Pelodiscus sinensis: one gene and its partner. The protein of the gene in region 1 binds, or shares a complex with, the protein of each later gene. Links are inferred from orthologs where the notes say so. Each region holds a gene or a part of one and is shown in the gene's direction. Other genes may lie near its edges.

Region 1 (8,110 bases):
GTTCAGGGCTTCCCATAGACCAGATTTACTTTTGTGGGGTTCCAGAGTTAGTGGATTTTGTGGACTCCCTTAGGCTGGAATGGGGATAAAAACGAGGGGTTCAGTGTATGGGACAGGGCAGCCAGCAAGTAGGATAGGAATGGGGGTGCAAGGTCTGTGTGGGAAACCAGGCAGAGGAGGGAGTGAGGGTGCAAGGTCTGGATGGGAGGTAGGGTGCAGAAGCAGGCCGAGAGAGAGAATGTAGGAGCAAGCTGGGGTGCGGAGTCTCGGCAAGGTGGATGAGTGAGGGGGATTGGAGCATGGCGGGTTTGGATATGAGGGGGGGTGAGCACCCCGCTGCTCCCAATCACTGCTGCCCAGCTGCTCCCATTGCCTCTGAACAGCACATCACTGCACTGCCATTCCCTGGGGTGGAGCTCAGCCCTCTCCACACAGCGGGGAGCCTGCACAGCCTTATGGACATAGAACCATAGAAGAGGAAGGTTGGAAGAGACCCTAGGGGTATGTCTGTTCTGCGTCTGTTGAAGCAGCCCATTATTTCAAAAATAGATTTCGAAACAATGGGCGGCTTATTCTGACGTCCTGAGGGGCATTTTGGAATAGCGATTTATTTCAAAATGTGCTGCTGTGTAGACAGTGCCAAATTACAAATAAGCTATATCAAAATATCGTGTAGCACAAATTGCGTAGCTTATTTTGAGCTAAGGGTGTAGACGCACCCTACGAGGCCTTCTGGTCCCATTCCCTGCTCCACGCAGAATCAACCTCAATTTGCCTGGGCACTCATTAATAGATCTCAAAGTCACTGTATTATTTCAAACCAATTTCAAAAGCCAGCTCAACAGGGAAGCTACAGAATTTAATTTCATTTACAAATTTGATTCCTACAACAGAGGTCTAAACAGAGGCATTGGCTGGATAGCCCACTACATTCCACATCCTAATGACATAAAAAAAACAAACCAAGGGTACTTAAAGTGGGTAATAAGTATTCTTATCAACTTCATTTAGCATGGACACTCTGACAATTCCTCCCCCCACTTTTTTTCTTTTTACCTTCTCTTTTCCCCTCTCTCTGCTAATTACAGGCAGTCCCCGACTTACGCGGATCCGAATTACGTCAGATCCGCAGTTACGAATGGGGCTCCGCCGGAGGACACGGACTGCGGGTCCTCACGGTCCTGCCGCCCGTATACTCTGGGGCTTTCTCTGCGTCTCCCTGGTCTGCAGACCAGGAAGACGCGGAGCAAAGCCGCGGGGGGGCTCGGGCAGCGAGGCAGCCCAGGCGCACCTGGGCTGCTCCGCTGCCGGCTTACCCGAGGCTTTGCAAAGGCTCTGTCCCGCTGCTGGCGTCCTCAGAGGCTTTGCTCCCCATCTCCCTGGCAGACCAGGGAGACTGGGAGCAAAGCCGCGGAGGACCCAGGTGGCGGGACCGCGGTGCGTCTCGGTCCGCCGCCCGCGTCTTCCTGGTCTGCTGGGTTGGGGGGGGCGCAGCTAGTACGCCCCCTCCCCCTCAGCAGACTAGGCTTTTCTCCAGACGCCTGTGGCAGAGCAGCTGGGGCGCTGTCGGTTGGTCCCGCAGCGCCGCTCTGGGCGCTACTGGACCAACCCAGCAGCACCCCAGCTGCTCTGCCCCAGGTGTCCTGATTCAGCCGCTGCTGGTCAGTTTCAGCAGCGGCTGAATCAGGACGCCTGGGGCAGAGCAGATGGGGTGCTGCTGGGTTGGTCCAGTAGCGCCGAGGAGCGGCGCTACTGGAGCAACCCAGCAGCACCCCTGCTGCTCTGCCCCAGGTGTCCCCAAGTCAGCTTCTGCTGAAACTGACCAGCGCTGACTACAGGAAGCCCGAGGCAGAGTTGCTCTGCCCCGGACTTCCTGGAATCAGCTGCTGATCAGTTTCAGCAGCAGCTGACTTGGGGACGCCTGGGGTTCTTAAGTTGATTCTGTATGTAAGTCAGAACTGGCGGTCAGTTTCAGCAGCGGCTGAATCTGGACGCCAGTTCCGACTTACATATAGATTCAACTTAAGTACAAACCTACAGTCCCTATCTTGTACGTAACCCGGGGACTGCCTGTATTTGAAAACTGGACTCCTTAAACTCCATTCATCTGAAGAAGTGGGTTGTACCCATGAAAGCTGATACCACCATCTACATTTTTTTGTTAGTCTCTAAGGTGCTGCAAAACTATTTGTTGTTTCTTAAGTTTTTCCAATCCCAAATAAATCAGCCATCTCGCTGCCTTCCTTCCCATCCCTCATTTGGGCATTACAGCCTCAGAGCAGCTAGAGGGGGCCTTTTCCTAAAGGTCAGGCTCAGCTCTGGTGCTCTGAAGAAGTGGGCAGTGCCCACGTAAACTCATGATACCATCTACATCAGCGTTTCTTAAATTTTTAAGACCAAGGAACACCAAACAGTATTTTTTTTATGAGGGAACACCAAGGATTTTTTTGTTGAGAAAAAAAATGCCCCCCAGGGAAAAGTTGAGCCCTTTAAGGGTGGCCATTTTGAATTTTGTTCTCTCTGCAGCACAACTCCGACTGCCACTTTAAGAGATGCTGAGCTACATGTTTTGTTAGTCTATAAAGTGCTACCAGACCATTTGTTGTTTATCCTTATGCAGTTGGAAGGCAAGCGGGGGAGAGGCAGGGCAGCATGCTGCTATCCTCAGAATAACTGGCTGGGGATAGTCCAGAGCCCCATGGCACACTGGCATGGGCCAATCTGCAGCACAGTTGCCAGCTCCTTTGCATCGCTGCAAACTCCCTGGCACCAGACCAGCCGGTTGCATTGGGGCCTGCTCCTGCAAAATGCTCCAGATTTTGCAAATATCCCAGTGCACCCCTTCCCCCACCTTCAAGCACTATTCCTTGCTGCCTTTTTGCAAGAAGTAGGTTCCTCCACCCCCCTTCAAGGTTAGATCCACCTGCCAGTGCATGCAAAGGAATCCAAATTGCAAATGGAGTGGAGACTTTTCAGCCCCATTCTGAGTGCTATTTGCAACCCGGGGGTGCTGCCAATCCACTGTGCCCACTGGAGAAAGGTGCCTATTGGAAATCTGGGAGGACCTCCCCCCAGCTTAAGGGGAGGGTCCACTGAGCCCAGGAAACCAAGTAATTACTTGGGACAAATAAAAAGAAAACAGGGACGGGCGTGAGGGTTAAAGGGCTAAAATAAGAGAACCGGATGGGGACACCGAGCAGAGAACCCCAGACAGCGCCCACTGCCCCTCGAAGGTCTCGAGAGAGCCAGAGGACGCTGCCCAGTGGAACTCTGCCCGGATACGTGAGCAGACACAGGAATGGAAATAGGCCCCTCCCTTGGCCAACCTCTGCTCCCTGGTCTTACAAATTACCGTCTTGGCAATAGCCAGGAGGAGGTTGACCAGGAGGTCCCGCGACTTTGTGGGGCCTCGGATGGGGTGTGCGTAAATTAACAGGTGAGGGGAGAAGTGTAGCCAGAACCTCAACAAAAGGTTCTGGAGGAGCTGAAAGAGGGGCTGTAACCTGGCGCACACGAGGTAGACGTGCGCCAGGTTCTCCCTCTCGCCACAGAAGGGGCAAGTGTCGGGAATGGGCGTGAACTGCGCCAAATACACCATGCTCACAGCTCCATGCAGGATTCTCCAGCTGATGTCCTCAGTGGGCCTTTGAACTAAGATGGAATAGAGACTGTCCCACCTGGGCTCCCCACCCTCTATTGGTGGTAGGAGGTCCTGCCACTTGGTGTCTGGGCGGGACACAAGGGTGGGGAAGTGTGCCCACTGGAGAAAGGTGAATGGGCAGTGAGAGCCTGTCCTGAGCTTCCTTGCTGCACCAAGCCAAGCACAAGTAGTGCTCCTGCATGGCCCAGCCAGCACTGGAGCCCCTTTACATTTCCTCTCTCCCCCCACCATGTACCTTAACGAGCTGATGGAAGGGATCTGAGCTAAGCTCTGCACTGCCAGCATGAAACCCACAGAGCAAGTCAGGGAAATCCTTCTTGCCCCTAGGGTTGCCAGATGGTTTAACAAAAAATACCAACCTCTCCCCCCCCCCCCCCCCGCAAAAAAAACCACGCTGGAAAAAAATTCTGTTGAGGAAAAAAAAAAGTTGCTCTATCTTTAAATTCCCTTGCTCCCCCCACCCTCCCCAGACACGGCAGGGGGAAATCAGAAAATACCAGACATTTTACATGAATATTTTTTGTTTCTAACCAGAGGGAAGGCGCAATTACCGAACTGAAACCGGACACCTGGCAACTCTATGTTGCCCCCAACCCCGAGCCTCCCCTTGCCCATCAGGCTGGAAACACCCCCACTGGGCTCTACTTGCAGCCTCTCCCTGTTTGAGCCCCTTCCTTCCCCACCCCCTCCTAAGAGAGGAGAAATCTCCCGCCTCTGTACCGCCTGCCTACTGTGCAGAAGCCTGCGTGAGCTCCCAGATGCATGGGGGGTGGGGGAGGAAGAGGGTGCTGAGTTCGAGCCACGGATCACCTGTAAGGCAGCCGTGGACTACTAGTGGCCTGTGGACTGCACTTTGAGAGCCACTATAGTAAGGGATCAAAAGTCCCTTACACGGGGTAGGAGACTGAGTAGTGGCTGCATAGCTTGCAATGCAATCATACAGAAGCCACTATCTATGTGCCAAACATGCCCCACTCTCCCGTACAGGTGTTACAGAAGGAGAGGCACCACAGTGACCACACACTAGAAGCTTGCAATACAGGAATGCACAGCTACATTGCAAGACTGGGGCTTCGGTAGACTGGTCCATTTACAAGAGGCTTCCAGGGTGCACTGCAGGAGCTAAAATTGCAAGGACCGCGGGCTTTGACTACAAAATCCTTGTTCCCACGGGGAGCACGGGCGGTCCAGGGCCTAAGTGAAATGCCGAAAGTAACCAGTCATAGGAAGGTGGACTCCAGGTTACCAGTGGCACCCAGCTGCAGTGCGATGCTTCCCAGAGAGGCCGAACGAAGGGGGGAGCAGGGGCTGCCGCTATCCGACCTGTGCTGCGTGGGGCTAGGCCGCGGCTCAGCGAGGCGGACGCAATCTCCGTGTGCTCCGCACGGGTACGTCTGAGCCCCACCGCCCGCCTCCTTACGGACCGCGGCTCTGGGAATCAATCACCGCCGCCCTTCGCACACACCCTCCTGCTGGCGCGCGGACCGGGCGTCTGCGCGGCTTTCAAGGGCGCAAGCAGAACCCTAGGTAAAGCCCCGCCCCCCCTGGGCGGCAGTACGAGTCCAGACTGTTCCTTTCCGCCCCGTCCTACACGCCACGCCAACAGCCTGGGCGGAGCTTCACGTGCCTTCTCACGTCCCTTCCTGGCCAGTGGCAATGGGGTTGTCATAGGAACGTTAGAACTCTGAGGCCGGGAAAGTTCCGCTCCTGCAGCCCCGCCCCATCATGTGACGCCTGCACCCTCCAGCCCCAACCGCTGCCGTTAGCTTCCGGGAGGACTCCGGTGCGCGCGTCACTAAGTTCCGTTGGGCAGCAGGCGCCAGAGGAGCCGCAGCAGCAGCAGCATGTCCACGAACAGCCTCGGCTACAACGAGCAGGGCGGAGAGGCGGCGGCGGAGCTGGGGCAGGAAGCGGCGGCCTCTCCCGCAGCCCCGGCCTCCGTCCCCGCGGCCTTCGGACTCTTCAGCAGCGACACCAAGAAGTAAGGGAAAGGGGGCGTGGCGTTGGCAGAGGGCGGGGACAACGGGGGCTGAGGATCGGGGCTGAGTGGAGGGCGTGCGGGAGTCCGGCTGCGAGGCAGGCAGGCGGTCGGTCGGTCGGTCGGCCGGCCGGCCGGCCTGGCGTACGCTGCTGGTTACCGCGTTCCTGTGGCCAGCTGCATACGCTGAATGAGACTCGCTGGTTGATCGACCCAGCTCACACAACTTCTAAAATGCAAGTTCCTTGGGCAGCTGGAGGCACGACCATGAACGTACCCAGAACAGCAAAACACGGAACGCCAAGTGTCATTTTAGAACCGGCCGGTACCGACGTTTCCATGCAAATTATGACATGCGAGCTACCATCCAAATAGACTATGGTAGTAAATCGGTGACTACCTTTTTTCTGGTTGCCATATAAAACATTTAGCTACTGTATCTGTTTAAACAGGTGGTGCCTTTGTTAATGGATAACAGAAATACCCTTTCAAATTATTTTAGTTTGTAGTTCGTCAGCAGTTTTGTGCTTAAAACCCGTGAAAGATCAGTTTCTTTATACAGGTAAATAAGCCTTCCAAAAGGCGCAGGTATTCTTACTGCATGGTTGTAGTTATGATGTTGTAACAAACATCTACATGGGTTGGTGTTAAACATAATGCGGAAGATGTTTAGTTGTATATTGTGGTCTCAAGACAAAACTGAGACACTAGAAAATTGTTGAATTTATCATGGAAACTAAAGGCATATTATCCTAGAAAGTTAGCATCCTCTTAAACAAATCTGGAAGTTAAGAGAAACATTTAGTATTAAATTGCTGAAAGACAAGGTGGATGAGGTAATGTTTTATTGGACCAATTTCTCTTATATTCCTGAGGAAATTCTGTGCATGATGTTTTGGGGTTCTGCAAATTTTATTTGTCAATAAATTTGGCGGCACCAGCATAGCAGTGAATAGCAGAGGTGACTTGCTGTATGAAGGTAGATCATCCTGTAGCCCCCTAGAACAGTGGTTTTCAAAGTGCAGTCCATGGACAACAAGTGGGCTGCAGCCACTTTATAGGCAGTCTGTGGCTTGAATTCCGTTCCCCTCCTCACTAAGGATGTTAAATTGCAGTTAATTTACTATTTGAGTAGTCAAGGGAATTTCTATTGAGTACTCAACTAGTCAATAGCCAATACCACATTCCACCAGGGGGCTCTTGTACATTTCAAAGGAGGAATGCAGAACACAGCATGCAGCGGGAAGTTTCTCTGACTCTGGGCTGCACATGGGCATGCTAGTTTGAAATGTACAAGAGTCTCAGTGGGGGCTCTTGTGCATCTCAAAGCAGAAGTGCACTCACGGAGTCCCAGGGTCAGCGGGGAACTCCGCAGCTGACTGCATGTTCTGCATGGCATTTCCCGAGACCTGTGGACTCCCCAGCTAATCATGGGTTTCGCAGAAACGCTGCACAGAGCCTGGGATCAGCGGGGGAGTCCCCAGCTGACCCTGGGCTCCAGGCAGCGCTGCTGCTTTGAAACACTGCCTTAGTATTTCAAAGGGGCAGCGCTGCACAGCTGATCCTGGCATCAGCTGTGTGGTGCTGCCCTTTGAAGTACCCCCTCCGTCCCCCCTTTGCTGCCTCTATCTGACGGGAGGGAGGGAGTCAATTAGTCTTTAACATCCTTACTCTTCACCTACTCAGTGGGAAGCCTATGCTGTCACTCCAGTCACATGGTTGCCATGCAGCCACAAGTCTGGAGCACCAGCTCTCGCTTCCTGCTTGGAGTGGTGGTGGTAGAAAGGTGAAATAAGCCCTAAACTTCCTTGCCCGACCGGGATCACGGAGACAAGCAAATCAAGTAGTGTGGGGGGCGGGGCAGGGGAGCAGCAGCGCATGGAGCTGCTTGCTCTGCCTCTTTCCACGAGCTGTGTCTGGTGGGAAAGGTCAGGGCTTTTTTCACCTCTTACCTCCCCCTCCCCTCCTGCATGCACTCTTTCCCTGGTGCTCCAATTGGCTGACCAATGGGAGAAGCGGGAGGTGGTGCTTGGGAGAAACAGAGGTGCAAAGCCAGGTAAGCTCCCCCCTCATGCCAAGATTGCATACTTCCAGCTTGCTCTTGCATCCTCCCTTGCTCCTGCACCCTCCCTACTGGCCACACTCAGCATCCTCCCTCCTGGCTAGACATCCTACAACAAGCACCCTTCTGCACTTCCACCTGGCTCCTGCACCTCCCCCCTGGCCAGACATCCTACTCCCAGCCTGCTTCTGCACCCTACCTCCCACTCAGACCTTTCATCCTTGCCCCTCCTTGCACCCCACCTCCACTCCAGATCCTGTACCCCCATCCCTATCCCACATGCTGGTAGCCCTGTTCCACACACTGAACCCCTCATTTTTGTCCCCACCCCAGAGCCTAAGAGAATCCACAAAATCCACTAACTGTGGAACCCCACAAAAGTAAACCTGGCCTATGGGAAGCCCTGAAC
Region 2 (7,976 bases), on another chromosome or scaffold:
GGGACGCCTGGTCCTGCCGCCCGCCTCCTCCGGGGTGAGAAAAGCTGCTCCCCGTCTCCCTGGTCTGCTGGGGGAGCAAAGCGGCGGAGGACCCGGGGCCGGCTTCCAGATCAGCGCCGGGGTCTAGCCAGGTCCTCCGCGGCTTTGCTCAGCGTCTCCCTGGTCTGCAGACCAGGGAGACGCTGAGCAAAGCCGCGGAGGACCAGGCCGGACCCGCGGCGCTTCCAGCTGATCTGGAAGCGGCCGCGGGTCCGGCCCCGGGTTCTCTGCCGCAGCACCGCTCCTTGGCGCTACTGGACCAACCCGGCAGCACCCCAGCTGCTCTGCCCCAGGCGTCCCCAAGTTAGCCGCTACTGAAACTGACCAGCGGCTGACTACAGGAAGCCCGAGGCAGAGTTGCTCTGCCCCGGGCTTCCTAGAATCAGCTGCTGATCAGTTTCAGCAGCAGCTGACTTGGGGATGCCTGGGGTTCTTAAGTTGAATCTGTATGTAAGTCAGAACTGGTGTCCAGATTCAGCCGCTGTTGAAACTGATCAGTTTCAGCAGCGGCTGAATCTGGATGCCAGTTCCCACTTACATACAGATTCAACTTAAGAACAAACCTACAGTCCCTATCTTGTACGTAACCCGGGGACTGCCTGTACCCCAATAGATGCACTGACACAAAAAATGTCAAACTTAACTTGGGTTTTGTCTGGGGTAGTCATGGTACCAGCATTGGGACAGAGTTCTCCCAGAGCTCCACATAAAACACCTTCACAAGGGGAGTAGCTAACAGCACCAGGAGCCTGTTTACACTGGTGCTTTACATTATGGTAATTTGCTGTGCTAGGGCTGGCAGGAGGGGTCAAAATCTCTTAGCGAGAAAGTTACAGCGCAGAAGAGTGGCAGTGTAAATTAGCCCTTAGAAAGAATAGGTCATCTGTGACTTTTTGTCATGACTGTTCTCATCCCAGTGTTAAAGCACCTTTACTTAATATGGGTTGGACCTCCCTACTCTGGCACCTAACTAGTCCTGGATGAGGGAGTTTGCTGAACCAGTAGAAGGCTCCACCACCTGCCACCAACCCCACTGCCCTACTGGCCCTGCTGGGCAACCCCCCCCTCCACCCCGCCAGCAGCCATCTCTCCTGCATGCCCAGGTGGGACTCTGTCCAGCTACAGTGCAGTGGAAGTCCTGGCCCCACTGTATCTTGGGCATACTGGAAAAAAGGGGGGGTACTCCACACCAGTTGGACCAACCACAATATATCACCGGGGGGGGAGGGGGGAGAGAAGGGAGGCTCTCCAGTCTGGCTAGGCTGGAGCAGTACCCTGCCCACAGGATAACGATTAACTGGTTAAACGATTAACTGGTTAAACATTTCATTTAAACAGTTGATTAATTGCAATTTTACATCCCTACATTGAACTAACTTATTTTCCTCAGATAACAGAAAAAGTATTTCCGGTATCATGCAGCAATGCTTGGTATATAATTTGAATTAACACTGAAATCTGGCTAGTGTTGTGGAGCTCTCATTATGGATGAGTGAGGGTTTTTTTAAATGTCCTACAATAAGCTCTGCATAAATCAATTAGAAGTTTAAACCATTCCAAAATCCTGTTTAAATAACAAATGGGAAACCTGAACTCACACCAACTTGTCACTTCATCCTTGTCTTTTATTCATTTTTTAAACACCTGAGATATTCATAATCAAAATATCCCATACGTACAACTGAGAACAACAAGTATTCAACCCTACATTCAGACCTATACAATAACAAGAAAAATAGCTGTTAACTTGGCTTTCTGATTTCCGAAAGGTAAAACGATTCTTAACCACCTAAACCTGTATTTCATAATGGGATTGAGTCATTGGCCTGTGTTCTGCCAAGGATAGTAGATTCCCTGGCCTGACTGGGTACCAAGCATCTCATGCAGTCTCCCATGCATGGGGAAATTCCCCACCAGAATTTGCAGTGCTGCCATCTTATCTTCTTTAAATCCATCTTTAATACTTCACTCTGCCTTGATGCCTGCAAATCACTTCTGTTTAGCAATGACTAAACAAGCAGCACGCTAAAATTTCTATTTTTTAGTAAAAGTTATCATTTTGTATCCTCATTTCAACCCAGCTCCACCCTGTTTTGCCTGTCTATTCATACTACACTTGAACCTCTTTAATCCAGCAACCCTGCAAAACAGGGTGTGCTGGATTCAAGATTTGGCCAGCCCACAGAGGGCACTGGGGCTCTGGACAAGAGGGGGATGGAGGTGGAGCACTTACCTGGTGCCCTGCTTCTGGGGGCACATGTGGCTCCCTGCCCCCTGCCACTCCCAAGCCCTCTGCTGCTATGGGAGCGGCAAGGAAAAGCACATTGGGATGGGAAAAAAATTTTGGGTCAGGGACCCAGTGCCAAATACAGTTGGAGGTTCCTGGGTGCTAACAGAATATATACAAAGCAAGGAATGCCATTGTACTGGATAGCTTTAGTCTCTTAAAATAGGTTTTCTCCCTAAAGCATCGTATTAATAATAATCATGACACTTTGCATGTCTATATAGTGCTTCCCAGTTTGGGATCTCTAAGCCCTTTTTCAGCTTCTGCAGGTTGAACCTCTGTGGTCCAGGACTCTCTGGTCTGGCAACACTGGACCACGGGATGTTGCTGGACCAGAGCGCCCCAGCGGCAGAGATTGCTGGTGGCTAGGAGCAAAGCTAGCCAGTGGGGCAGCAGAACTCGCAGGCCAGCAGGGCCATAGAGCCTATGGGGCAGCAGAGCCTGCAGCCAGTGGTGAGCAAAGCTGACAAAGCCTGCAGCCAGCAAGGCAGCAGAACCTGCAGAGCCAGTGGGGCTGCTGGAGCCTGTAGTGTCATGGAGTTGGTGGGGGTGCTGGAGCTGGCAGGGGCCAGTGGCTGGGGACAGGAGCCCTGCAAGGAGGCTGATACCCTCCTCCCCCGGCCTCCCTTGGTTCACCGAACTTCTTTGTCCGCGGACCAGTCAGGTCCCGAGGGTGCCAGACCAGGGAGGGCCAACCTGTAGTCAAATATCTTCCCAGGCATCTATGAGGAAGTTACTTCAGATGCTTAATAGCAGTGTGTCCTTCCTGACACCCAGCAGCGGCATCCATGCTGTCACTGAATGAATTAGTGCAGACTTGCATTTTTTTCCTCCTCTGCGGCTCCTACTGTCAGCTTCCTCAAAAGGACACTGTTCCTTTCACAGCTGTCTGCTGAACTGTTAGTACTTACTGATCTGCATTTTGCAACCATCCCATTTTCTCTCTGTCCCCAATATTCCAAACTGCTAGGAAGAACCTAGGCGCCGTTATGAAGTGCCTCAGTCCGTACTCAGAGCATTATGTAGGGACATCATCTGGTTTTAGATAAAATCTGGCTATGAGTGACAGAAGGAAAAGTGTAATAATCCCCCCCCCCACACACACACACACAGAGCACATGACACTGCCAAATGCCTGGCATTCAGAACAAGATCTCAGGCAAGGCAAGATGCATGATACTACCACGTGCCAGAAGAGATACTGGAAACCCCCAGCTCCTGCCCTGTTGTACAGAAAGATCAAATCCACTGCTCACTAACAAACAAGTTCTCTGTTCCTTGTGCTGCGATTTGCCGTTGATTCACATTTGCCTCCGGGACCGGCACACTTTAAGGTGCAATGGTGATCCAATGAAGGACTGGAGTCGAGGGTCGGTAGAAACAACACCCCCAAAGAGCGACCTAAATCTAGCAACCTTCCCTAGGGTTCAGAAAGAGGAAAGGTCACTCCATTCCCCAATCTCCGGTACCGGGGGTATTTAAAACACAGACACACACACATTCTATGGCAGCTGAAGCAAAATGCAGGACTATGTAGCACTTTAAAGACTAACAAGATGGTTTATTAGATGATGAGCTTTCGTGGGCCAGACCCACTTCCTCAGATCAAATAGTGGAAGAAAATAGTCACAACCATATATACCAAAGGATACAATTAAAAAAAATGAACAAATATGAAAAGGACAAGTCACATGTGTTCATTTTTTTTTTAATTGTATCCTTTGGTATATATGGTTGTGCCAATTTTCTTCCACTATTTGATCTGAGGAAGTGGGTCTGGCCCACGAAAGCTCGTCACCTAATAAACCATCTTGTTAGTCTTTCAAGTGCTACATTGTCCTGCATTTTGCTTCAGCTACCCCAGACTAACACGGCTACATTTCTATCACTATTCTATGGCAGCAAATTCAACTCCTACAAAGCCACCTGAGCCTATCCCAGTGCACGTGTTGCAGAAAAGAAGGCAGGAAAAGAAGCCGGCCGGCAACTCTAATATCCACAAGTATCAGAGAGGGCGGCTGCGCTAATGTGCAACCGCAAAAGCAACGCTGAGTCCTTCGAGATGCCTTTGGGCGCACGCTCTGGCGACGTCCCCTCCCCAGACCCCGGCCCGAGTGCCCGCAAGTCGCACCAGAGCCCCGGCGCACGTGCGCTCCGCCCTCCTCTGCGCCTCTCCCGGCTTGACTTTCAGGCTGCACTTCGCCCTTATGCTGTGCTGCCCGCTCCCCCCCGGGGTGCAGCCGAGTCTCTCCCTCGCCCCTCGCCAATTACCTAAGCTGGGGGGGGTCCAGCTTGAGCTTCTTGGCTTGTGGTTCCTCCGCTGCCATCTTCATGCTCAGGCTCTAGCAGCGCAGCCCCGGGGCTTCTCGGCAGCCTCTTGCAGCAGCTTCCAACCAGGGCGACAGGCGGCCGGCAGCAGGCGGAGCCGAGGAGGGGAAGCAGGGGGGGGGCGGCAGAGTGGGCCTCCGCGCGCCTGATGGAGACGTGGAGAGGAGCCGGGTGCCCGCTGTGAAAATAACGCGGCTCCGGCTGGACCAGTTGCAACAGGCGCTTTTCCTGCTGCAGGACCAGCCCCGCCTGGGCATTTGGGTCCCCCCCGCCCCTGCTTCGTCATGCAAAAATCATCATCAAAGGACTCCAGCGCATTCGCCCCCGGGGGCGGCTGCAAGCGGCTTACGCGGAGCCCCGGTTTGCGCACGGCTGGAGGCAGCCCCACGGCCACCTGTGCGTGCAGCTGGGGGCGGAGGCATGGGGCGGGCCGGGTCCTCACAGCCATATTTGCCACGGCTGGCGGGGGGGAGAGGGGCCGCTGTGCTGCGGGGAAGCGGGGCTCGGGGCGCTGCAGGTGAATATGTGTTAGCCCCGCCACTCGGGGCTGCTCTCCTTGTGGGGTGGGGGGGTTGCATGACAAAGGCCTGGTGGCAGCTAGCTCGGATCCCCTAGAAATCCATGGTCCCTCCATTGTTCCGCACGCAGCCCTGGGATCCGGGCGCTGCTGCCCGTGAGAATTGATTGCCTGGCTGGCTAACTGTGGAGTGCAATGCACGTGGGCTTAGCAATAGCATCTGGGCTGTCTTCACCCCCAAACGAGGCGTGCCGAGGTGGGTCCGGGGTTCTCCTGCGCTGGAGGGAAGGTTCGGGAGCAATCGAAGGTATTTCCAATCTTTGGTGTGTCGTTTCCTGGTGTTCCAGTCCGGCTGGGTAATATCTCCTGACTGGTCAAACTTACTGAAAAAATTCTCAACAGCCCGAAGTCGAGCAGAGATCCACTTCAGTTTCACTAACTCCTTTCACTTTAAAACATTTGAATGTATTTTAATCCATGGAGCTGTTGCTTTCTCCCCTCCATAAGTGTGCCGTAATGAGATCTAATATCGGAGTCTGTTTTTAATTTGCTCTGTCCTGAGTCTTAGGATTTCAGATTGTATTTCACTCGTAAGAACTGTCTTTATAACTGCAAATGAGTTTAACTTTGGATCCCGGAAGCTTTCCGTGGTGTAAAAGAAAATGAATTGCTACTAATCTTCCTAGTCTCTATACATTAATCTCTGTATGAAACCTTTTCCCCATGAATAGGCTTGTTTTACAGTTTAACTTTTATATCTATCACCATTATCATATTTAGGTTCCCATTTATGAATGAAAACAGGAGACGTTTATATATTTTATATAAACGCAAAAATTTGGGGTTAATGTCTTAACACTTAAATTTCTGATAAGTAAGCTAGAAATGAAAACACTAGATTTATGTGGGATGGGTACATTTTGGTTTGCACTGAGTGCTTAACGGGTCACTGCAGCGCTTTGTGCATGTTGGTTTTGTTGTCTGAATTGAATAAGTAAATGTGCATACAGAAGCAAATTCTTGTAGTCTTTTAATAGTCTGGATTTTTTTATTTAAAAGTTTTTAAACTGACCCATTCACTAATCATCACACCCACACGTATTTCATAGAAGCAATCTTTCAAGAATATTGCAATCCACAATCTTGATATTCTGGAAATATAACATATTAAGCAAAGTGATCTATTATGTCAAGCTCTTTGGTGAAAGAGTTTATTTATAAAGCAGCTAAGTTTGCTAGGCAGGATATAGGATCACTAAATACATGTCTCTGCCCTGAAAAGATTTTAGTGTCTGTCTCTCTCTCTCTCCCCCTCTGTGTGTATAGGTGATGAGCAATGGCATGAGAACAGGAAGATAGAAAGGGGATTAAAATAGGTCATGTGCTTATTTAGGTTTATTGCATATTTTTCTTTTTGGTGTTGCCTTGCCTTCAGTTTATTAACAGCAGAATAATAGTTTGTTGGTAACAGTTGGTTTCTCTGAAGCTTTGTCTGTTAGGAAATTTAACATTTGCTGATAATTTGTCAGTAATTGGTGCGTTTGAACTGTATTGAAAAGTGCTGCAGCTTAATTTCAAGTGGCTCTTGTATACTCCAGGGGAAAATTACTAATCTGTCTAATGGCACTAATGTTGGGAGTGTTATTATACACAGCTCCAGTTTCTAAACAGCCCTTTCCAGAACCATGTTGAGGTTTATTGTGGGGAGTTTGTTGATGGAGATAAAAAAGCTCCATGAGCACCTTGCTATCATTAGGGTTCCCAGCAGGGCAGTTTTCACCGGTGATAGCACCAGTGCAAAAAAAAAAAAATCTGTAAGAGTCCCTCATGACACACAGCCTGAATACTAGCTTCAGCCTGAATACTACCTTTCATATGTGTTCTTTTTTTTTTATTGTAATTGTATCCTTTGGTATATATGGTTGTGACTATTTTCTTCCGCTATATGATCTGAGGAAGTGGGTCTGGCCCACGAAAGCTAATAAACCATCTTGTTAGTCTTTTAAAGTGCTACATGGTCCTGTATTTTGTTTCAACTAGCTTCAGAGTCATCTTTCTCTGTGCTTAGTCCCTTTCCTGTTACTGATCTGTTTTTCATTCCAGTAGCCCTACTGATCCAGCTTTCAGTGGGTACCCACTGAATCTTCAGTGGAATGTACAGATGTTAAGAGAAAATTGCTTCTCCATAAACTTACAGTCTAAGTCTAGACAAAGGGGGGGGGGGATGACTGATTACACATGCAGAAGTGAGGTGATAAGTGACTTGCTGACAGTCACACAAATGCTGAGAGGGGTAGCTGCCTTGGTCTGTATCTAATTTTTTTTTTTTAATGGTCATGTAGCACCTTAGAGACTAAGCAAAAAATACAGCTAGTATCATGAGCTTTCATGGGCACAACCCACTTCTTCAGATGACAAATACAAAAAGCATGTAGAAGATGGGGAATGGAATTGACACTGCTTGAATCCCAGAACCTTAACTAACAAGACCATCCTTTTTCTCTGTTCTGCTCACACTAATGGTTACTTGTATCAGCAAGCAGCCATGTTCTTGTCTGGTCAGCAGCCAATCTGTCCTCCCTCCCTGCCATGTACTATTTTTCCCTCCACTTCTGTTGAGTTGAAAACACTATCCCTGATTCTCAGGAGAGCTAATTTTTAAAGTGTCAGCAAGCCTTTCATCCCCTCTGTCTATGTAAAGGTGTTACTCTTACTTGTTCTAGCTTATTAAAAGAACAGAGTCAGCATGATATGTTGTTTCTCTGGGGCTTTGCTTTTTGTTTTTAAAAAGCAGTTACACATGCT

What was found.
Region 2: the proteins of AP3B1 (region 1) and AP3M1 are in contact, whole or in part, in a cryo-EM structure (PDB 9C5A), measured with the Homo sapiens proteins. The link is inferred for Pelodiscus sinensis from reciprocal best matches to the Homo sapiens genes AP3B1 and AP3M1. Residues at the interface, in NP_003655.3 of Homo sapiens: Leu60, Lys64, Val67, Gly68, Ile70, Ala71, Lys72, Gly73, Ile92, Glu93, Lys96, Leu97, Val100, Arg104, Glu107, Asn128, Gln129, Leu130, Arg137, Arg143, Ser163, Pro164, Tyr165, Lys168, Asn169, His172, Gln175, Lys176, Leu202, Ser206; in NP_001307192.1 of Homo sapiens: Met1, Phe15, Leu16, Glu17, Trp20, Lys21, Ser22, Val23, Gln26, Val42, Glu43, Asn44, Val45, Pro46, Pro47, Val48, Ser50, Tyr55, Ser58, Ile59, Tyr60, Gln71, Thr72, Glu73, Val74, Pro75, Pro76, Leu77, Phe78, Ile80.

The regions. Positions count from the first base shown.
Region 1 is NC_134716.1:86,592,648-86,600,757, reverse strand, and holds the start of AP3B1 (AP-3 complex subunit beta-1), read left to right. Parts: upstream 1-5,054; 5' UTR 5,055-5,505; coding exon 5,506-5,642; intron 5,643-8,110. UniProt on the Homo sapiens protein: Subunit of non-clathrin- and clathrin-associated adaptor protein complex 3 (AP-3) that plays a role in protein sorting in the late-Golgi/trans-Golgi network (TGN) and/or endosomes.
Region 2 is NC_134718.1:7,351,450-7,359,425, reverse strand, and holds the start of AP3M1 (AP-3 complex subunit mu-1), read left to right. Parts: upstream 1-4,919; 5' UTR 4,920-4,938; coding exon 4,939-5,050; intron 5,051-5,098; exon of another isoform or gene 5,099-5,171; intron 5,172-5,190; exon of another isoform or gene 5,191-5,366; coding exon of another isoform or gene 5,367-5,478; intron 5,479-7,976. Other genes in the region: ADK (adenosine kinase), read right to left, coding at 4,598-4,659. UniProt on the Homo sapiens protein: Part of the AP-3 complex, an adaptor-related complex which is not clathrin-associated. The complex is associated with the Golgi region as well as more peripheral structures.